2 linked regions of the Coturnix japonica genome follow. The protein of the gene in region 1 interacts with the protein of each later gene in a biochemical or structural test. Links are inferred from orthologs where the notes say so. Each region holds a gene or a part of one and is shown in the gene's direction. Other genes may lie near its edges. The genes, in order: SH3GL2 and SYNJ1.

The links.
Region 2: the proteins of SH3GL2 (region 1) and SYNJ1 form a complex in vitro, tested with the Homo sapiens proteins (2 studies listed by BioGRID and IntAct, with this or other methods). The link is inferred for Coturnix japonica from reciprocal best matches to the Homo sapiens genes SH3GL2 and SYNJ1.

The regions. Positions count from the first base shown.
Region 1 is NC_029547.1:29,793,004-29,800,742, forward strand, and holds the end of SH3GL2 (endophilin-A1), read left to right. Parts: intron 1-213; coding exon 214-317; intron 318-1,981; coding exon 1,982-2,115; intron 2,116-4,393; coding exon 4,394-4,593; 3' UTR 4,594-5,883; downstream 5,884-7,739. UniProt on the Homo sapiens protein: Implicated in synaptic vesicle endocytosis. May recruit other proteins to membranes with high curvature. Required for BDNF-dependent dendrite outgrowth.
Region 2 is NC_029516.1:94,510,335-94,518,159, reverse strand, and holds the start of SYNJ1 (synaptojanin-1), read left to right. Parts: upstream 1-2,641; 5' UTR 2,642-2,646; coding exon 2,647-2,735; intron 2,736-3,795; coding exon 3,796-3,941; intron 3,942-7,825. UniProt on the Homo sapiens protein: Phosphatase that acts on various phosphoinositides, including phosphatidylinositol 4-phosphate, phosphatidylinositol (4,5)-bisphosphate and phosphatidylinositol (3,4,5)-trisphosphate. Has a role in clathrin-mediated endocytosis.

The DNA.
Region 1 (7,739 bases):
GGAGAAGAGCTTCGATCATCATTCCTGATCCGGTCATAACCAGACGTGGTAATGCATAAAGCTGATATGTGACTATTCATGAACTACAAGGAGAACTAAAATTTCTAGAGAAAAAAGTAAAGCTGCCTTTGCAGTTTCAGTGTGACAGTGTTTGCTTTCTATTGCTGATGTGTAATGATGTGACCTAAGATATGTTTTCATGTCAATCGTCAGATTGAACAAGTGAGCCAGCTTTCTGCTCTTGTACAAGCCCAACTGGAGTACCACAAGCAGGCCACACAGATCCTTCAGCGAGTTACTTCTAAGCTGGAAGACAGGTAATGCTCTTTTTCTTAATTTATTGAACTGGCTTTTATGCATTGCAGAGGGAGAAAATCTATGAATCGAATGCAAAAATGTGGGGTTTTTTTGAATGTGTTAATTGTATGTATAAAAAAAAAAACTACCTGAGTAGGTAACTGCAAATCGAGATTTATGTATTTTGAAAATAGAAATACAACTGAGTATGACTGAGTGAGATCTGAGCTGAAGGCAGAAACTCAGTTCACTAAGGCTATTAATTAAATTTAATTGAATACTTGTGTTTAGATGCACTGGATGCCAGCTGTACATATAACTTTATTCTCCTTTCCATTCCGATGTTAATTCTGAAGTGGTCTTTTCAGAGATGTTAATGCTAGGAAAAGAGTAGATTCTGTTCCACCTGAAGGGGATCTCCCAGTACAGTGTAATTGCCATCTTGTTAATTAATCTTCAGGGTTTTTTTGTTTTGTTTTGTTTTGTTTTTTTTTCAGTCAAATCACTCTTGAGATGAGACTTAACTGAGTTTACCTCTTCCATCCACTTAACTAGGAAGGCCGAATTTATGTATCTTTTAAATTTTCTTTTCTTTTTTTTTTTTTGTTTTCTTTTGCTTTGTTTCTATCAGCACAAAGTAGATTGTATGTCCTTGAGATGAGGAAAGTAACATTTTTTAAAAGTTCACCAGTCTCCTACACATCCTTCAAGGAAACATGATGTAGGTTCCTCGTGTTTTTGAAGGGCTACTCCTAAAAGTTAGCCATGATTCCCTATGTTTGTATTCTATATGAAAGCCACACTTTGGTTGCAGATAGTTCTTTGCTGCTTTCTGTCACTTCTGTATATTTTGTTTCTGGTGCTACTGGATCTGCTGGTATTTATTTTCTCAGAGTATGTAGTCTGTAAACCTGATCCAGTTTTAACTCTTGAAGTTTCTTTGAGATTACAAGTGGATAGTCTACTTCTGGCTACAGTTTACAAGCCAATCTGCACTTTGAATGTAGGGGTCTTGACTCAGGTATTCTTACCTGCATGATATTAGAAAGTCATTCTGCATAAATTGCTAGAATTCTATCTATCCAAGAATCTGAAAAGGTTCTCTTTGCTAGAAATTATTGATTTCTTAATTTGAAGAGTTAATTGAAGTGAATGTTGCATAACATTTTTATCCTGAGAGTCAGGAAAACTGGTGATGTGTGTCTCTATGAAGCAAGTAGTCCCAATTACACATGAAAAAGTCTGCAGCAGAAGTCAATAGGTTCTCACACGGTCTCCTCATAAAATGACAAGTGTTGGCATTAAACTGCTGAATGATTAAGGGCTGACAGCAATAGCAGCAAAATAACTACTGTCAGTCAAGATACAAATCTATTAGAGGTATTCCCTAAGTATTGCTAGATCATATCACAAAGTTTTCTTTATTAGGAGCTCTTGTTATTGTTAAGAGGATCTTGGCCAAAATGCTAATTCAGGGAAAAGAAAAATGAGTAAATTAACGGCATAGTCACGTAAGGTGATAATTTAAATAAATGGGTTAAATAACAATTACTCAAAGTGCCAAAACTTGTTTAGAGTGGCTGATTAACAAAGATTAAGTTTTAGCCTTGGAAATGTTGTTTGGTGCATCTCATCTGTTCAAGGAAGTAAGCCTTGACATTTGACTAATTTCATGTTTTGACAGAATAAAAGAGGCATCATCTCAGCCTAAAAGAGAATACCAGCCCAAACCTCGTATGAGCCTGGATTTCACAACTGGTGGTGACAATACCCAGCACAATGGAGGAATATCCCATGCCACCACTCCAAAACCAGCAGGTAACAGCAGTAGCAGTGAGAGAAAATTTTTAAAAAGGCCAAATCTAGCAGAATTTTTCTACAGTGCAAACATTCTTCCTAGAGGGTAGTTCTTCCTTAGTAAGGAAAATGAGAATGAGGATAGTGCAGAAGAACTATTTGAACTGTTTGAATTAACTACATTGTTCTATTGAAGGACCTAGGCTGGTTGCAAAGCATAGTACAGAATTTTTCGTAAAACACTAATTTCTTCAGGCAGAAAAACATAGATGGATCATCCATTTTTGGGTCAAAAATGTCCTTAGTGCTAGAGCTATAAAGACTTGCTGCCATACTGAACTCCTCTTGAAATACAGATCATAGAACAGGCATTTAGAAAACTCAGAGATCGACTGCAGGTTTTCAATGAAATACAGAACTCTGCAACACTGAAAATCTCAGTAATCCCCAAACCCTACTTTTTAAAAAACAGGCATTATGGTACGTATGACTTGAAATTAAATATCACTAAAACCAGAAACAGCGGCAAATGAGGTATGATGTCTGTTCAATGGTGAGCAGCATAAACAAGGTGAAACATTTACATGACTGTACATCATTAGTATCTTCAAGATGTATTTTATTTCCTATCAGCATGTACTATGAAAGCTTTATCTTTTGTTCATCACAGTAACAGTCTGCTAATATGTATTATCATGACAGTTGTCCTCTTCCCAGACCCTGACCTCAACTATTCCAACTGACCTCAATGACAATGGCTTGCACACTCTATGTTGCAAGATTAAATGCTTTTCACTGGATCAGATTTTCTTCCTTCTCATAGTATCCCAGTGTGAATGTTTAAAATTCTCCCAGATATATGCGGCAACCTTATCTTTGTTTGGCAAGTGGAAATGGTCTTGTAAACTAGGAATTTTGTGATTATGCACACAAAGAATGGGGGTTAAATTGGGGATTCCTTGTGCACGAGTGTAGCTTCAGTCCTGTACAGTAAAAATCTCCATGTCACACCACCACAATTTCCTTCTTCACTCATATTTTTGTGGTGTTGTGAACACTTCTTTGTGATGAGATTGTACAAACTGATATTCCTGTCTCTCTCAGAGAGCAATATGTAACATTTTCGTCAGTAGGAGTTCTTTCTTTTGAGGGGCTCATTATTTTTACAGAAACATCTTCTTTTAAAATTCCTTAATGTAGATTTGTGTTAATTCATTCAAAGATTTCCTCTTTTCACTAAATCCTGCTCTACTGACATCTATAGAAAAGGAATATTCTTATCCTAAAATAGCTCAAGCATGGATCTTCTAGCTATGGGGAGCAGTTCAAATGAATATTTAAAAAGTCTGAATGTGAAATCAGTTCATCCTGGAACTGGTACATGTAAAAAAGCTGAAACAAACATATTCCCAGAATTGGCACGATTTAGATGCATGTGTCATTTCATTCTGACCAGTAGAAGTGCACAGACATTAACAACGGAAAATCAGATAGGGATATAAGTTTAATAAATGCTGATAAATCTTAAATATTTTGACTATGAACTGCTTTTGGTAGGCTTAACTCTATAGAATCTTTGGGGATTGAGGGAAGGATATGAGCACAAGGAGGAAATAATATTTCTAGATTTCATATGACCAATTAAAATCTAATCTAATAATTATAATAATACCCATTAACCATGCTAAATGATTTATGGTTAGATATTCATGAAATATCATATTAGAAAGATTTCCATTTCAGACTGTGCCAAAACAATTCTGATGCTGATCTAATCATCAGTTGTTTCATGGGAATAAGAAGGTTTTCTTTGGAAAGCTTGTACAAAAATTCATGAGGTCAGGAGCATATAGGACAGTTTACACAATAGTTGTACCAATGAAGATTTCAAATAAAGACACAGTTTTATTTTCATTGCTGTTTTAAGATATCATTTTGCTATTTCCTTGAGACACAGGCAAAGCATTTCTGTGCCAGTAAAACTGGAACTATGTTTGGGCTTTTGCTTCATTTTTTGTGTTTTGTAAACAGATAAAAATTAGATCCCAGACTGGTAGTAGTTATTCTTTTAAGTGTAGGCTTGAATGTAATTTAGATCTTTTAGTATTCTCAATTTCCAAAAGTTGCTAACTATCTTCTAATACAGTTTAGCTGCCTAGATTTAGATGCTGTCAGAGGACTGCCATCGCCATATGAAATACACGGGAAACAGCAAAATTTAAATGAAGTAAAAAGTTTAAAATGATAGCATAACTGCTGAGATTTTAAAATGTTATTTCTTTCTCTTTCTTATCCATAGGTGCTCACATGGATCAGCCATGCTGCCGAGCTCTGTATGACTTTGAACCAGAAAATGAAGGAGAGCTGGGATTTAAAGAGGGTGATATCATTACCCTCACTAACCAGATTGATGAAAACTGGTATGAAGGGATGCTTCATGGCCAGTCAGGATTCTTCCCCATCAATTATGTCGATATTCTAGTTCCTTTACCCAATTAAGATAGCTGATCCACCACCTCTGTTCCAGATAGTAATGTCAGTACCACTGCTTTCAAAATGCTGCTTCTTACACCTTACAAGTGCAAACTGCAGTGGTTAGAATCGTCAAGTCCCACTGAGCATCTTTGGTTTATGTGTTGTCATACTGCGTAGTGGTGATGCGTGGTATCTTCTGAGCCAACATAGTGTGGGTTAGACCACTTGGCCACACTGACCTCGTGGTAACCAGAGTACTGCTGAGATGATGTTGGGAAGATGATGGCAAGCCAAACAGGTGACTCATGGTGAAGTAGCAGGAAGTGAAGGTGGTACTGGGAAGATAATGCCTATCACCACTGTATTACTTTTCAGTCTTAGTTCTTTGTAAAAAGAGGGAAAAGTTCTTGCCATTCCATCTTTCCCTTCCTGATGATACAGTTCACATGAGTCTAACCATGACTAACAAGAATTGTATCTTCTGACCAAAATGGCTTGCTATTCTCACAGAGACGGTATAAATATAGACGCTCTGGTTTCTCAGAAAGCGAACCACTGTACTGCGTGCCCTTCTGGTCTCTGCTCATTTTTGTATTTTTGATTGTTATTAAAAGACCTATTTCCATCTGTAGGTAAACTTCGAACCATAAAAAGGGGATTCCTATAGTAAAGAGCTTGAACCACAAACTACATGAATTTGCCCTTCATAAACTTTGAGCATGCTCAATAAAATGCCGGTAGAAGGGCAAGATGGGGGATAAAACTGTTATTAGTGTTAACTGTTTGTTGTCAAGTTTTGGCACAAAATCATGCTGCTTAAGCACCAGATAGTCTTTTTAAACTCATTCACTGTGGAGGAAAACCAACCAAAATACTATCTTCCCTGCTTTTATTTCTGTCTACCATGTGTTCTTCGAACATCATTTGTGTGTATTCTGCCCTCAATGAGGACTAAATAAAACTTATTTCTTTTTGTGTTGAGCAATTAAAGACATGTGGCTGTATATGCAAAAACATTTCCCCATATGTTTAGTTCACTCTTTTTTTTTCCTCCTTACTGCACTTGGTGTGTACAGTGCTGTGCCTAGCTTCTCAGCCTTCTTTCAGATGCAAAAGTTCTGTTAGTTTAGTAATCCAGAGTTCTATTTATGTAAACTATAGAGACTCTCTTTCAGAAGTTTAATGTGCTGCTTTGAACGTGCCACTTCAGTACTGGATGATGTGAAATGATGACAATTCCCTACTGCTTAATATATAAACTGTATCATGGAATATTGATATTTCAAATAAATGCTGAGAGAATAACTGGAATAATTTTGTGAATTATTATTTTATTCTTTAAAAATCTCTTGTGCTTAACTTTGACTAACAAGAATTTTGTTTTGGAAAATGTGTTTCTCAAGCCTGACTTGAAAATGTGAAAAAAAAAAAGATTTTTATATTGTTGCATGGCTTCTCTGAATTGAAACCCATATATGTAAAATGATCTTCATAAATAGGGTAGGCTGAACATCAAGCACATAAAGTTAATGTCATTATGACCAGCATGCAGTCTTGTGGAGACAGGATAGTTCCTGTTCAAGTATGCTGTGTTTCGAAAAAAAAAACACCAAGTAATGCTTAGACATACTTGTAATAGTATTTTGAGGGTTTTATATTAGAGTTACATAGGGTTTATATTCTTTGTTGTACAGATATGATCATGGGTTAGCCTTGACAAAGAACCAGGCACCTACCCAACGGCTTGCTCTTGGTCTCTTCTCAGTGGGTAGGGAGGAAAAATGGGAAGAGAAAGCTTGTGAGCCAAGATAAATACAGGGAGGTAATTTGCTTGTTACCATCACTGACAAAGTGACTATATGGGGTTTATGTGCCAAGGTTTTGGTAGCAGGGGAGCTGCAGTGGTGACTTCTGTGAGAAGAGTCCAGAAACTGCCCTATATTAGATAAAAGCCAGTTCCAGCTGTCTAGAAAACTCACTGCTAGACAGTGAGAGACACATCTGTGCTTCTGGGAGAGCATATATAAGAAATGGAGAAAAATGCTCTGCAGCAGCAGCAACTTTGTGGAGGATGGGGAAACATGTTATGGAGCAGTGCTGAAGCAGTATTTGGATTGTTGCAGCCTGTGGGAAGCCCATGTGAGATCAGTTTGGGAAGCACAGCATCCTATGGTGGAAGTCCACATGCCACAGCGCCAGAGTGACCATGGAGGAGCAGCAGAGATGTAGTGTTCTGTTCTGACTGCAGCTCCCATTGCCAGTTCCACCTGTACTTCACTGGGGAAGGAGGTAGAATAGGATGAATGGGGGGACATTTTTTTTTATATTTCTTTTAGTTCTCACTTCTCTATGTTATCAGTAATAGGTAATAAATTACATTAGTCTCCCTATACTTAGTCTGTTTTACCCATAACAGTAATTGTTGAGTGATCTCCCTGTCCTTATCTTGACCCTTGAGCCCTTTTCCATTTTATTTTTTCTCTTTCTTTTTGCTCATTGAGAATGAGAGAGCAGTGTGGTGGAGTTTAGCTGGTAATATTCCTTTTAGACATGACAGCATGACAGCATTACTTGACATTTCCCTTTGTTGAAACCTGTTAATTTTCTATTGGCCAGTTTCTCCAGCCTGTATAGGCCCTTCTAGCTGGATGCAGAGTCCTTTGGTATATTAGCCACTCTTCACCACATTTTATCACCAGTGAAGTTGTAGAGGTTGCGCTCTGCCTAATTGCCCAGACCACTAGGGAAGATGTTGAACATGCTTGGACCTAATTTTGACTGCTGAAGTATATCACTTCTGGCTGGCCTTCTACTGGTCTTTGTGCCATTGATTCACAATGGGGTAGATTCAGTCATTCAGCTAGTTTTCACATCCACATATATTAACAGCTTACCCATGAGGATGCTAAATTGCAGACACTGTATGACTGAGAATGGTTAGAAAATAATAAATTACATGTATATCTGTAGCACTTGTCTATATATGTATAGCTGAATGTACTCTGCAGAAGTGCTTTATAGCGGGTTTCTTAAATATTACATCTGACATCTATTTCTTAAATTTTACATCTGACATCTATTTTCATGATAGTTTTTTGGAAAAAAAAAATCATAGAAACAAAGAAAAAAACAGATTTGGAGAGTTATCTAGGAGGCTAGTCCAACCTTCT
Region 2 (7,825 bases), on another chromosome or scaffold:
TGATTGGCATGGCTAAAGATACAAAGCTAAGTGAAGGTGGAGAAAACTTTATATCCTAGAATTTGAAGTGTTTATACTGTACTAAATATTCAAATGTTACATTTCCTGCTAAATACCAGCTAAGAATACAGTCTTGGAAAGCAAAGCATTTAAGTTTTTGGAAATCAGAAGGAAAATCCTTTAAAACAGGGTGATCCACGTTGGAACACTAGTAATTTGGTTTTGGGGTCTGAGGCATGTAAACAGCTGTAGCAGCTTTGGATTAAGAGCTGTTTTCTTGGTGAACCCGACATTCCGGGGGGAATTATAGCAATAAATTGACATCCTGGAGAACATAAAGATTAATTGTATTTTAAGGTCATGTCGTGGTATAAATGAATATATTAAAAATGTACCATTTGTAAGATGCACACTTCATTTGGACACCGAACAATTGTTTTTCTGAACTGTTGAGATCGATGGAGTACATTCAGAATATCTGCTTTTAAAAATCGTTTCAATAAACTCGTCTGTCAAGGAGCTGCTGCAGTGCAACTTGATAAGCTTTGTTCCTTTAAGTGGTAAAGGAAAAAAATATGCATGCTATCTATTTTTGTCATCTCAAACTTTTGCTTTTTTTCTAATATAGCACATACAAGCCTGCAGTTAAGTTTTGAAGGTGTATAAGTGCAGTTTCAGTAGCTCAGGGCTCCAAACCTTGAGACAATTTTAAATGCTGTTAGTAAAAATGGAGGCATTTTGCTCCAGTTTGGATAATAATTGGGAGAATAAGGAAGAGGTCAAGAAAATTACTTCCTTCTAATCTCGTTATAAAATATAGCCACAGAAAACCTTTATAAGCAAAATAACCACTTGCCTTTCTGCCCTTCTTCAGCCATTGTTCTCAATCATTGATTCAAATTAAATGTAACAAAGCAGTTGCACTTCATGAAGTGGTCTTCAAAAACGTTATATATCTGCTGCTTGGTTGAGTGACTGCTTTAAAATCCAGTAGTTCAGCACACCTGCTTTAAAATTACTTCTCCCATGGTTGGCTTTGTGTTGTCTTAGCATTCACCATCAAAATCAATGCACATAATATATTCAAAGACTGATGTCCTGGAAGGTGATAAAATCCCATATGACATGGTAGTCTTAGTTATACTCAAAATTCTATGGGAACTCTTGAGATGTAGTAACCTCTTTAGGTAGTTAGCATCGTTTAGAAACAGGGAAGATGTATAACATTGCATGTAAAATTGGGGGACATTCTGAATTGTGATAAAAGGGAGGTTTGTTTACAAGGGGGTTCCTGCCTCATCGCAGACAGAGTCCTCACTAACGCCTACAACAATAAACACACTTAATAATCCAAGAGCCGACCACTTAAGTCTCTGCTCCAAACCATGAGGTAAGTTTGTTTTTCTTCATATATGTGACCTGTCCCATTGACTCCACTTTTGTGCTTCATGCACATATTTAAATGTCTAAGGTAGTCAGGCATTGGAATGCACTGCCCAGGGAGGTGGTGGAGTCACCGACCATGGGAGTGTTCAATAAACATGTGGATGTTGTGTTGATGAATATGGTTTAGCCGGGAAGTATTGGTAATGGTTGAACTATATGATCTTCTAGGTCTTTTCCAACCTTGATAATTCTGTAATTCTGTGATTCTGTTTTCATAACAGAAATGTATCATATAACAGATGTATCTCCAAGACTCAGTGTGATATTTTTCATACATATGTAAACCCATCTTTTCATAGCCTAAATTTCAACAAAGCTCTCGAGCACTGTCTTATTTTCTGCCTTAAGATTTTAGTGACACCTTGCCAAGTACCTCTGGCATTTCCTCTTGTTCAGCTCCACGCAGTCAGTGACTGCCCAGCCCTCCCATTTGTCAAGGTCTCTCTGTAAGACCTCCCTACCTTCAAGAGAGTCAGCTTAATGGGCAGGGGTACTACTTCACAGAATCACAGAATTGTAGGGGTTGGAAGGGACCTCTAGAGATCATCGAGTCCAACCCCCCTGCCAAAGCAGGCTCCCTACACCACGTCACACAGGTAGGCGTCCAGGCGGGTCTTGAATATCTCCAGAGAAGGAGACTCCACCACCTCCCTGGGCAGCCTGTTCCAGTGCTCCGTCACCCTCACTGTAAAGAAGTTCTTCCGCACATTCGTGCGGAACTTCCTATGCTGTACTTTCATCCCATTACCCCTAGTCCTGTCCCCACGCACTACTGAAAAGAGACCAGCCTCGCCACTATGGCTCCCACACCTCAGGTATTTATAAACCTGGATCAAGTCCCCTCTCAGCCTTCTTTTCTCAAGGCTAAACAGACCCAGTTCCCTAAGTCTCTCCTCATAGGGGAGATGCTCCAGGCCCTTCACCATCTTAGTGGCCCTCCGCTGGACTCTTTCCAAGAGATCCCTGTCTTTTTTGTACTGGGGAGCCCAGAACTGGACACAATATTCCAGATGAGGCAGAGCAGAGGGGGAGGAGAGGGGGAGGATCACCTCCTTCAACCTGCTGGATACTTGTCCCTAAGGGCTCGGCTCCAGCCCCGTCCTGACACACATCCCCCTCCTCACCGCCCCAAGGTAGCACGGCCATAACATCCACCATGGCTCCGCCGCCTCCCCGTGCCTTCCGGTGGCGGGCGGCGCAATGCGGAAGGGACGGAGGGGCCGGAGCGGAAGTGAGGTGCCGCCGGCTCCCGCGGCAGGGAGCGCAGCGGGCGGCAGCTGTGGCGGCCGGTGAGGAGCTGCGGGGCCGGTATTGGGGCGGGTCGGCGGCACCGCGGGCGGCTGTCGGTACGGGAGGAGCCCGCTCGGCTGTCGCCGTGGCGGGTGTCGGGCTGCGGGGGCGCCGCGGGCGCCAGACAAGATGGAGGCTCTGTCAGCGCCGCGGGCGCCGGGCAGGTGGAGGGGCGGGGGCTGCTCGACCGGTGCCGGCTCCTTGGCCGGCCGCTCCTGCCTGTGTCGTATGAGGGGGCGGAAGGTCGGTGCCGCTGTCAGCCCTCAGGTTACCGGCGTGGGGCTGCGGGAATGGAGCATGTTCGCTGCTTTCTAGCCGCTCCTCTATGCTCTGTGCATTCCTTCAGCCCCTGATATATCGGTGGGCTGCTGGTGTTTTGTGGTTTGGTATTGCTTTTTTTCATTGCTCCGAAGGAAGGTGTTACCTTTATGGCTTGTCAGCGGTCTCTCTCGTGCGGTGCTGCGATTTTCTAATCGTCAGCCGCTGCGAGGGAGGGCTTAAGTCCAGACGGAGCTCCGCGTTCGTTTATAAAGAGAAACCAAGCAGTAGGTTATCGTCTCTGTATGTTATTCCAAAGCCTCTTAGCAGCTTTACTGTTTGAAATGTAGTGTCCTTTTATACAAGGTCAGCATGAGCAAAAGGCATCGTAAAACTGAAGCTCCTGGCCCTCTGTGTTCAGCAGAAGGTTGCTGCTGCTCTAATGTGTTTGTGGCGACTAAAGGAGAACCTCATCTCCAGTTTCTCTGAGTCTGGTTTAGGTATTGCAAAAGAAATTCTGGTTGTTCTGGAGGAGATCTTAAATAAATCCTTTGTGCTGCTCTGGGCAATTATGTTTTTGCAATGCTGGCATGTTGTCTTTAAGCTATCTTTAGATATATTTGTTTTGAAACATAAAGTAAATCTCATGAACTAGAAAGAGTGAGCATCTCTTTTCTTCTTTTTCTCTTTTTTGTTGTTAGATCTGTAAAATTCTTAGGAAAGAATGGAAGTCAGACCTGTTCTGCAGAAGGTATCTGGAAGCACAGGAAGCTCTCACTAACATCATCTTGTGTTGGACAGGACTGCCAGCGATAAAGGCAAAATGGCTTTCAGTAAAGGATATCGTGTCTATCACAAGCTGGATCCGCTCCCGTTCAGCGTGATAGTGGAAGCCAGAAACAGAGAAGAATGTCTCATGTTTGAATCTGGAGCCGTGGCTGTCCTCTGTAAGTCACTATGTTTTGATAAATACAATGAAAAAACTGGCAACCTTGACGTTGTGGAAGCTGTTTTTATTTATGACAGATAAGGAAGAAGCAGCAATTCTGGTTTTTATTTGCTAATGGAGATCCTTTTGATTTAAATGGAAGAAATGTTTCGTATCTTTATCTGTTGGAAAGAGAATTTTACACATTTAATTAGATTTTCATCATGAATATGTATTGCCATGTATACAAAATATTCTTCCAATATCTGCCAGCGTCTGCTTATCTTTGGTTCTGAGCAATCGTCTGCCTTTGAGTACACAATGACTCATTAAAAAGCAAAATCTGTGGTGCACTTATTACAAAGTGCTGTATTCTTAAATGGTGCATCATCTTAGTTTGTTTATCTCACTTTGTATTATGACTTAGATGGGTTTTTTTTTTGTTTTTAAATCTATGTTGCACCTGTGTTTTTAACCTATCACCATACATTGTGTGTTAGATCATCTCATAATAAAGTCAGTCAATGTTTTGAGCAAGATGTCTTGTATTGCATAGTCATTTTTATGTGCTTTCAGTGCTAAATGCATCAAATGCTTGTGTTTTTTCAAGTCAGAGTCGAAGGAGGGCTCTAAAACAGGAAGTGCAGAAAAGATCCTTTAAACCTACAGACAGGGTCTAAAAATATACTTTGGTTTGTATTCTTCAGTACAAAGGCCTGAGCACCAGGTTGCCAAGAGTTCCTAGGCTTCTTCTGGGCAACCTGATCTAGTAAATGTGTATGTTTGGTGGCCCTGCCAGGCAGGGGGGTTGGAACTACATGACCCTTGAGGTCCCTTCCAACCCGGGTCATTCTGTGATTCTGTGATTCTTGAATCTTGTGGAAAGCTTGAGTACTGTGGATGTACTTCTTTTGAATGGATCAATTTTTGTTGAAAATTGGTGCCCAGTGTGAGGTTGTAATGCATTGCCTGCAGCCTTACAGGGCTCACAGGTGGGTTGTTGTCTCCCCGTAGGGTGCTCTGGCCCAGATAGGGTAGAGTGGGCTGAGCCGGCAACATGTTCCCTCCTACAGCAAGGCTGAAGGTTAGAAGTGGGAGTTCTGAAGTGGGATTGGAGATGCATTCCCTACCCTACCTTTGGTATCTGTAATTGTTTGTATGCCTGATGCACTCCTTAGCTGTGGCATTGCCTCTTTGTGAGGCACCTGGCTGACCCTGTATCCTGCAAGTTAAGTGCTTAGAAATCAGGCCATAGTTTGTGCTGAACCGGCTGTGTGAGCTAGTGCTCTCTTGCCTGTGTCTCAATCTGTACCTTAGTTAATGTGATATTTGGAGCTGCTATGATCCGATACAGGTCTAGCCATGGGACTTGCTAGCACAGTTGACATTACAAATGAAATTAACTCACAGTTATCAATGTCAAAAACTGTGAGTGCTTTCTTCCCATTTTTTGATATTTGTTTTTATCTGTTACAGTTTCTTCTTAATATTTGTGTAACTTATCTTGTTGACTTTGCCAGCAGTATTTGAAAGGCATTGTGTAGTGTGGTTTGTGATGGAAGTAAGTGTCTTATCATGAAGATAAAGAACATACTTAGTAAGAACAGTACAGCATGGGAATAATGTGAAGAATTATGGAAACATTTTATTTTAGTATATGTTCAGTAATCAGTGCACTTGTTTAAGGTACCTAAGCAGGAATGTATTCAAAGTAATTTATTCTTGGAAGTTATGCTCAGAAAGTCAAAGGAGTTAATGTTTTCTTGTGCTGTGATACAGTGCAGGTAGCTGAGTAGACTGTCTTCTCTAGAAATTCACTGTTTATATCTGTGTTGAAATTCTGCCCTCTCCTATGCCTTGCATTGTAATCAAACAGGAATTGAAACCCAGAAGAATTTCAGCAGCCTGGCTCTTCTTGGGTCCTGTACTTTGTAATAGCTTCTTCCTACTTTGTAAGAGCTGTCCTTGGTATTCTGATTGGTAGGTTGCAATACAGTAAATATTTATGCCTAGTTACAAGTAGTTACTCTAAATACTGCTTTCAGTAACTTAAGATTCTGAACTGCTTACTCTGATGGATGAGCTTATTTTCCCAATGTGTTATGCTGTGGCAGTTCATTCTAGTTTTTTTTGTTTGTTTGAGCCTAAATTCTTTACTGAATGATTCTTTTAATGGTTGTAAGACCACAGTCAACCTTGATTTGATAGCAGAAAGGTGCTGAACTTCCCTTGTTTAGATTATTTTCCTTCTATTCTGCTAGAGTTTGATGGTTTCTTTATGTAAGTGTATAAGATTTTATTAAATACTGAAGATTTGTTGTTTAGCCTTATGCCCTATGACAGCTCCTGCCTGGCTGTAGAATACATAGCATATGTACAACCCAGTGAAATACACTTAGAATTGAAAGTGATTGATGTGACTCAGTTCTGAGAACCTCAGTGAACCTCATCTTTTGGAGTATGCATGTGCAGTAATCAGGACTTGAACTGGGCTGAGATAAAGGAACTCAAGTTTACCGGTCCCTTAAATGTCATCTTAGCTGAAGTCCATCTGTCATTTTGCCGAGGGAAGGATAATGGTATTAACTTTCATCCCCTCTCCATTCAACAAAGCATTGCAAGATTAATTCAAAGAGTTTTGTTTGGCCTCTGTATGTAGTGCTCTACAATTCATATGCTGCTTGGTTTTACAGCGTGTGTTATTCATGAAGAAAGGAAGAGGGCAGAAGGGGGTAGTTCACAGGGGTTATTGTTGCATAATCATTCAGTCTTAAAATGGAAACAGTCCAAGCCTTGCCTCTGCTGGAAGTGGTCTGTGCACTGCTTGTAATGTGCATTAGTTAGCATGACCAAAAGCTCTGAGAAATACTTCTCTTGCCTTACATAAAAATACCCAGCACCTCTTTGATCAGCTCATGCCTAGTACCAGGTTAGCCCAGGATATTGAAGTCTGAAAGGATCCTGCCAGCCTGCTTCTCAAGGCCTTATAAGAGCATTTGGTTTTAAATGTCAGCAGCTCGACTGCTTCTTTGTTTAGCATTTACTTGGAGGATGTCACTGATCTGTTTTTTTTAATTATTTGGCATGTAAAATAGGCGGTCTATTTATTCTATGAAACAGGAGTCTTTAATGAGGTATCTTACCTGCAGAGATTTCATTGATTGAATGGGAGATTGTTCTCTCTCCTTGTGCCTCTCTGGTGAGTCACAATGAAAGGAGTGGGAAGCTGCTTTTACTCCTGTCGCCTGTGATGAGTAAAGAAGAATGTTCTGTCGTTTGGGAAAATCTGAGCCCTGAGCACGAAGAGATGGAGCTTTGTGCACATCGTTGGAGTTTGGTTTCATGCAAGGCTGAAAAGGGAGCAGGTAGAAACACAAGAAGAGGCACTGTATCCACCCTGAGCTTTTTGTTGAGCTAGATGGAGGAAGAACTGCAACAGCCTACACTTGCTGCGGGTGTCCCGGTACTATCACCCATTCACATTCCACTTCAAACACTATGATATGCTGCACTGGGAAGAGAAGTAGCAGATAGATTGTATCTATCCACAGTAGCAGACGGGGGTGTAAGCATTTTGCAAGAAGCTTTGGGTTGGTGATGGTTTAGGAAACTGAGCTACCCAGAAAAGAAACATAGTGACAGATATTTGAGCACCGCCTATGTGTGTACATAATCGTAATGGGCAGGATAACACAGCATCATGCCACTGTGTGATTTTTTTCTTTATCACCAAATAACGCTAGTGCAGCCTTATGAGTGGAACTGCATCCCCTTAAAATTAGGGAGGGAGACCATTTCAATAGAAATTTCTACATGCTGTTTTTCATAGAATCATAGGATGGCCTGGGTTGAAAAGTACCACAATGATCATCTGGTTTCAATCCCCCTGCTTCAAAATAAGCC